Linked DNA regions of Yarrowia lipolytica. The protein of the gene in region 2 interacts with the protein of the main gene of each other region in a pairwise test. Links are inferred from orthologs where the notes say so. Each region holds a gene or a part of one and is shown on either strand. Other genes may lie near its edges.

The links.
Region 1: the proteins of YALI1_F10671g (region 2) and YALI1_F13719g interact in binary tests that used the Saccharomyces cerevisiae proteins (3 or more experiments, as listed by UniProt). The link is inferred for Yarrowia lipolytica from reciprocal best matches to the Saccharomyces cerevisiae genes HGH1 and CNS1.

The regions. Positions count from the first base shown.
Region 1 is NC_090775.1:1,370,177-1,374,013, reverse strand, and holds YALI1_F13719g (uncharacterized protein), read right to left. Parts: upstream 2,057-3,837; coding exon 824-2,056; downstream 1-823. UniProt on the Saccharomyces cerevisiae protein: Co-chaperone that binds to the molecular chaperones Hsp90 (HSC82 and HSP82) and Hsp70 (SSA1). Stimulates SSA1 ATPase activity, but not Hsp90 ATPase activity. Involved in only a subset of Hsp90 functions.
Region 2 is NC_090775.1:1,065,352-1,068,796, reverse strand, and holds YALI1_F10671g (uncharacterized protein), read right to left. Parts: upstream 1,647-3,445; coding exon 561-1,646; downstream 1-560. Other genes in the region: YALI1_F10660g (uncharacterized protein), read left to right, coding at 2,746-3,445.

The DNA.
Region 1 (3,837 bases), about 300 kb from region 2:
CGGATGCCGAGTTGATGAAACACTCCCGTAGACTGCCTCGGTCTCAATATGCGACTCATTGTCGTCTCATCGCGGGATTATCCTGGAGCCTCATCTCCATGGCAGTCTTGCCCTCTCGACCGAGGCAGAAGCGGAGGTACAGTACATACTGTTCACCAGAGGATGTGTTCGGAGACATCACAATGTCACTGGTACAGCACTCGTATGAGGAACAACAGACAAGTTCTGCAGCTTCTTCTATCCTGGTGACATGGTTCAGGTCTAGTCTGTATGTGAGGAGCCTTCAATGGTCCTAAACGCCATGTCCAAGAGTCCAAGAGTCCAAGGTCCAAGAGAGGGAACCGGGCTTTCGTTCGTGACATGTCTGAAGAGAAACTGGAATGACTGAATCTCAAACTGCTGGTTGGAGAGTCCGACCACTTCTCTACACTCCTGAAACCGCAACCAGAGGCTACCTATCCCACAGACTGTAGTCAAGAAGAGCCTGGCGATTCTCGTGCACTACTTGTGGCAATGGAGTCGCGTTTTCCATAGTCTGTTTCACCAGGTGGATTGTTCCATCTCCGGCAACTGTCTACAAGATGGGGTCGGCGTTAATAGCACTCCTTCCATTTGCTCTATATACCTATCCTTCCAGTGCTACCCTGTAACATGTCACGTCTGCCATTGAGCCGGTCTGCCGTTAGACGGGTCCTTTGCATGAGCAGATCCAGTGTCGTTCGAATATCGCTTCCTCTGTGGAGATATCGCTTTCCTCTGTGGAGATATCGCTCTCCTCTGTCGAGTCTCTGTCGAGTCTCTGCCGAGACACCGCTCGCTCCACCTAAATCATCTCCTTCTGAGCCTTGTCCTTGCTCCACGTCTTCAGCCACTGCTCCCGCTTCTCCTTAGGCACGCAATGCAGAGTGATGACATTGTCAATGAGCGGCACCTTTGGCTTGGGCGCAGACAGCACGCTCTCAAACGACACCTTCTTTCCAATCTTGACCAGACCTCCAGACTCAGTCTGCACAAACACCTCGAGGTTCTTGACGTCGTACTGGGCCACGTGGTCGCCGGAGAACCACATGGGCGGATGCTCAAACACGGTGTTGAGCGCCTGGCCCGGAGTGGAGCCGATATCGACCTCGGCCAGAAAGTCTGACTGAAGATCACAGGGATACAGCAGCAACACAGGCACAAGAAGAGTGGAGGTGGGGTCCAGAGGGTCCTCGAGATGGATGGAAACGCCGTCAGGCAGAGCAGGAGGCGCCTTGGTGGTGATTTGCAGGATCTTTCGCACCTTGATGGCGAGCTCCAGATTCTTCTCTGTAGCCTCGGCAATCTCCTTTCGTGCGAGCTCTCGCTTTTCCCGAGCAATGTTGTCGGCCAGCTTCTTTTTGGCGGCAGTTTCAATGTTTTTCATGGCATCATTGAACACCTCGCAAGACTTTGCGTAGTCGCACAGCTCGAGGGCTTCCTGGGCCCGCCCGACCGCCAAAAATGCCGTGCACGACCGGAAAATGGCCTTCTGGTTCTTGGGATCCAGAATCAGCGCCGCCTTGCAGTCGTTGATGCATCGTCGGTAGTTGCGGAGCTCCAGATTGCACGCCGCCTTGTTGATGTAGCAGGCGGTGTCAATGGCCACCACTCCACACTTGACCTCCAGCGCCTTGTCGTAGAACTGCAGCGCGTCGCCGTACCGCTTCTCCTTGTACGCTTCGTTGCCCTGGTTCTTGAAGTTGGTGGCCACCTCGTCGGGCTCGCCTTCGTACGCCAGAGCCTTGAGAGCCTCCAGGTGGTCGTTGGCTCCGCCGTCCTCGCCGCTCTCGTCGAGCTCCCGCATGAAAAACGGCACCTTGTTCATGTTCTTGAGAAACTCGTCGGTCGTCGCCGTCGAGTACTCGGATAATTGCGGCGGCAGTTTGGGGTCATTGGGTCCTGGGGCGTACCGGTGGGTGTCCCATCCTGCGGGCGGGCGGCTTTCCCGCGTGCTTTCGACCGCCGGAGGTGTGGCTGTGGGCGACCCCGGGGCGTCGTCAATGATTTCTTCAATCTGGGAGCTTTTGGGGGGCATTTTGGCACCGTGTTGGTTGAGATCAGAATTCCTACACAATTTTTACAAGATATGCATGTTTGAATCTTATCGCATGGGAGAATCCAGAATCGGCTGGTAGAAAGTAAAAAGGGGTTTGGGTTTTGTTCAGAATTCGACGGAAAATAAAATATATAAATAGAAATATTAAATAAAAAATGAAAGAAATAAAAATATAAATGAAATAAATGGAATAAATGAAATAAGAAATGAAATAAATGGAATAAGAATGAAATAAAAATGAAAAAAAATAAAATAAAAATAAAAATAAAAATAAAAAATAAAATAAAATAAAAATGAAATAAAAATTGTAATAAAAAAAATGAAATAAATGAAATAAAAAAAAAACTTTTTTTAAAAATATAAAAAAAAAATAAATATAAAAAAAATGAGTATAATATATATATAGTACAGGAGGAGTGCTCGTTTTTGCTTCGGCCATTCAGAGCATTTAGGTTACTACTCATATCCCCTCATTACTCCAAAAGCTCAAGTTGCGAAAATAAATAAAAAAGTAAAAAATAAAAAATAAAAAATAAAAAAAAATCAATAAACATCCGCAGTGCCACCAAAAGTTCTAATAAAAATACCCGTCAACGTCTAAAATTAATACAACCGTCATCATTCACTATTGATATACAACCGTAAACATTCCCTCCGTAGGAATTCCTTGGTACCCACGACCAAGTCGCCAGCAACAATGAAGTCCCTAAAAAGAGAACGAATCCACCAAGAGTAAGTCGCACTTGTCTCCATAAGAAGAAGTTTCCAAAAACTAGAAAAACAACTTGTAGAGACGACACCCGGATGGCTCTGGTAAAAGGCAAGAGCCATGTACGTCGATGTCGACCTCCGTTGTTGGGGAGGTAGAAATCACGGGTGGTGCACCCGCCTATATAGTGGTTGTCGGTAGGGTAACTGGGTGAAAAAGGTTAATCGGGTAGGGTAAATTTGGGAGGTGTGAAAATTTTAAAAAGACATTACCCGGCCGTCGGGTCGTCGACGCTTTTGTTTGGCAGTCTGTTTGTGTGCGATTCCCAAAGAGGCAACCGCCAAACAGGAGGTTGTGGGTTAGGGTTGAGGATGGGTGAAACAAGCGAAAAACGGCGGAGGTTCGGTTGGGCGGTGAAGGCAACAGTTCCAGTCCGAGTATGCCAACAGTTCCAGTCCGAGTATGCCAACAGTGCCAGTTCGAGTATGTATCGTGTCGCCCGTTGTCTCTCGCCGCTCGCTGCTCGCCGCTCCCTCAGGGGTCCCTGACAGGCTTCTGATCGACACGACCCCTGGACACACAATGAGCGCGAATCTTGGGTCCAGCATGCAGAGTTTGCAGTGAACATGTGTCGCGGATACATGATACATCTGGCGTTGCAGCACATGTAGGATACTTGTGGAGCTGGGTTGAGGAATGTGGGCCAGCAGAGGCGTTTTTGGGAGGGAGTTGGACGCGTCCATCATGTACTTGTGGATTGTCTCTGGCTGCTTTAGCTGCAGGGTCGCTTCAGAATGTTCTTCACAAGTGGAGGGAGACACGTGCCGATCGCCATCAGAGTTGGGGAGTAGGTGGAGTTTGAGGGGTGATTGCGAGGGAGGTCGATGTAGGATAGATCTTTCTGGGCTGATCTCGTAGCCGTCCTCTCGTAGCCGTCCTCTCGTAGCCGTCCTCTCGTAGCCGTCCTCTCGTAGCCGTCCTCTCGTAGCCGTCCTCTCCTTCACCTCATCTCCTTCACCCCCTTCACAGCTTTAGGTTGGATTTGCACAGA
Region 2 (3,445 bases):
TGTATTAATTGAGTTCGCGATGCACGAGGGTTTGTAGGGTAGTTGGAGTGCTGGATACAATCAGGTTTCGCTAATAAATTGTCGCTGGAAGATAATAGGAAATGATTAATTTGACAGCGGAAAATATACTGCTCTTTTCAAATTTGGTTCTAGTAAAAAAAAGTGGCACTGTTTGGCCGACACTTGTGGTGCTTGTTCTGTTAGTCTAGTTCAGTTGTTTGTTGAGTGAAGTCAACTAATTGAATATACCGCTGCAGCTTCCTCGATGGTCATACAGTAGTAATTATTACACTCCACTCTGCGCAATGATGACACACAGAAACACCAACCACTATCCACAATCACATCATTCTATCATCTCTCAATTATTCATACAAATACATTTCATTAACTGCTTCTATACATATGAGCCCTGGCTCCAGTTGATGTGTATTGTGGGACCAGAGGTGCGGACAACTGTTCGATCTGCGCCATCTGGTGACATGATTAGATGTAAAACCTCCGAACAGACCATTCGCCCCGCTCGTGTTCCGGGCAATTATCACTCGCTTCGTTTATGATTAAATCACCTCGACAACCTCATCATCAGAGTCAACCTCCTTCACCTTGGCATCATCTCCAGCCTCCTTGGGCTCGTCCCGCATGAGCATCTGCACAACTCGGTCGCATCGCTCCTGGATGGTCTGGTCGTCGTGGTTCTTATGCAGCTCTCGAACAATAGGGTAGACGGATTTGGTTCGCATGTACTCTCGCATCTCCCGCGAAGTGGTCAGCAGCAGCAGAGACTCCAGATGAGTGCACATGATGTCGAGATCCTCCTCTCGTCGCTTGTCGGGCGTCAGCAGCTGCAGCTCTTCGGGCAGATCAAAGATCTCTTCGGGGTCCTCTAGGTCCTCAGGGCCCGCCAGGGGCAGCATGATGAAGGGCAGCAGGTTGATTTCGGGGTCAAGCACAAACTTGGAGTGCTTGTCGGTGTCAAACAGCGAGTTTTTGATTGTAGAAGCAACACCTTCTCGTCGGATTCGCGAGTCCACAAACTCGGTGAAGGGCAGCAGCTTCTGGATGGGGAACAGACCATCGTAGGGCTGCTCAGTGACAAAGTAGTCTCGACCTCGTCGGAATCGCGACAGATCGGCAAAGAAAAAGGCCAGGTAGTCGAAGTTGGAGAAGAGGTTGAGCTTGCCGGTAGCGCCCTTGACAAAGCAGTCCATGAGCGAATCGATGAGCTTTTCCGACTTGAACACCTCCGTGTTCTTGAGCTTCTTGGTGGCGTCGAAGATGGACACAATGTGGTCGTCCTTGGCCAGGTTGGCTAGCAGCATACAGCACAGATCGGCCTGCTTGTTCTCGAGATCGCAAATCTCGCAGGCAATCATGGCTACGAACATGGAGTTGGACGCCAGCATGTCGAGAATGTCTCTGTCATCGCATAGGTTGATGAGAATGGTCAGAGCGTTCTCCACATTGACTCTGGGGGTGCCCAGCATGACGGTGGCCACCAGATCCTTGACTCCCTGGTAGTCGTTGGCCTTGAACTGCTCGGCATGGCCCTGTGAGTAGCCCACGAGGGACTGTAGAGCAACCTGCTTGACGGCAGGGTGGTCGGAGTGCAGAAATTCGATTAGTTCTTGGAATTCGGAAGACATTGTGTGTGTTGTAGTTGTCTGGAAAACTTGGATTTATCGCAGTCTAATTTTGAAAATATATTTTTTGGGTTCATGGCACGTGACCCGGAAGGAGAAGGTAGTGTCAATAAATACGTTAATATGAATCCTATTGAGTGGGTGAAAACTTGAATCAAGTCTAAGGAGTCGCATGGACGTTTTGAAGTTGCCAATTACCAGATTTGAACTACGGAAGGCTTCGATACCAACACCCAAATATCTCCCCTCGCTAACTGATCAGAGTTTTGATGCCTGACCTGCATGGGTGGCAATGGTGGAAATAGATGGAATTTCTTGGAATTTTGTATTATCGCCTACGGATTGAAAAATGAGACAGCAGGAAGTGTTGCAGACTGGTAACGAACTCATCCCATGACTAGTATTGTCTCTATATGTGTTTGTCGTCTGACAAAAGTTTTTTTTTTTTTTTCTGCATATACATTCATTTAATTATAACTTTGCTGTGAAAGAATAACAAAAGAAGGCAGTTTGAGAGTCATTTGTTAAGTAATTACTTGAGACATTTACCGAAGTATAATTGGCGATTTAATTGAACATGGAAGTTGATATAGTCTCAGAGAAGCTGTATGTACTGGGGATAGGAGCAGGGGTGGGGGCGGTGGCACCTTTTATACCTGTATATCACACCCCCTAAATTCACTGCAACACCTATATCTAAACTCCGGGGAACATGGATCTACGTACATATCGTTTTCGTTGAGCGGGGGTGTCAGACGCATGTAGGCTGATAAGGGCGTGGAAAGTTTCCTGAATGAGAGCACCCCTCCGAGAAGAAGAGAGCAATTGTAGGCAATTATCGACCGAAAACCCACATAGGATGAAAAGCAGCCGTTGCGTAACGGGGTATTTAAACGTTCCTTATCTGTTTCAACTCTTCATATGAGTTCCAAGCCGCTCCACCCTCTAGTCTTCCCCCACCTTGCGCGTCGCATATTAAACTCCCGCTGCGGCTCGAGTGCGGAGATACCGTATGATAACAAAAGCCAATATATAATGCCTTGGAGTGGCATCGACGGTGTTGGCCAACTATCGTCGACAAAACCTGATTGCAACCTTCACCATGGTTCTCACATTCGAAATTGCTAGAGAGAAGTTCCTCAAGATCAGAGACGATTCCATTGCAGAGCTGGACAAAGTGTTTCCTCCACCCGAGGACTCGAGACATCATGAAGTTCCCGCAAAGTTGCCCAAGAACTCCATCCCCGTGTTCCAGGAGATGCTGGCCCATGACGATGCAGCTATCATCAATTCGGACCCAATCGAGCTGCTCGATCAGCTTGCTAAGGCCAAGGTATCGGCTGTGGCTGTCGCAGGAGCGTTCCTAAGAGCTGCTGTTATTGCCCAGACTCTCACAAACTGCCTGACGGAGCTGCTTCCTCGAGAGGCACTGGAAACTGCTCAGAAACTTGATGACTATCTAAAATCCACAGGAAAGCCCGTGGGTCCTCTACATGGACTTCCCGTGTCCGTCAAGGAGATGGTGGGCTTCAAAGGCCGAACCTGCCACTTTTCCGTGTCTTCCAAGATCAACAACATCACTCCGGACAATGCTATCATCCTTAAAGTACTCTACAAAGCCGGAGCTAACCCTTACTGTCGAATACCGGTCCCCAATTTCTCATGTCGCTGGAATCAGAGTCGCCTCTCCATGGAAAGACTTACAACCCCTATAACCGAGATCTCACGTCTGGAGGCTCATCCTCGGGTGAAGGAGCCATCGTCGGTCTTGGAGCGTCTGTTTTGGGTCTCGGAACTGACAT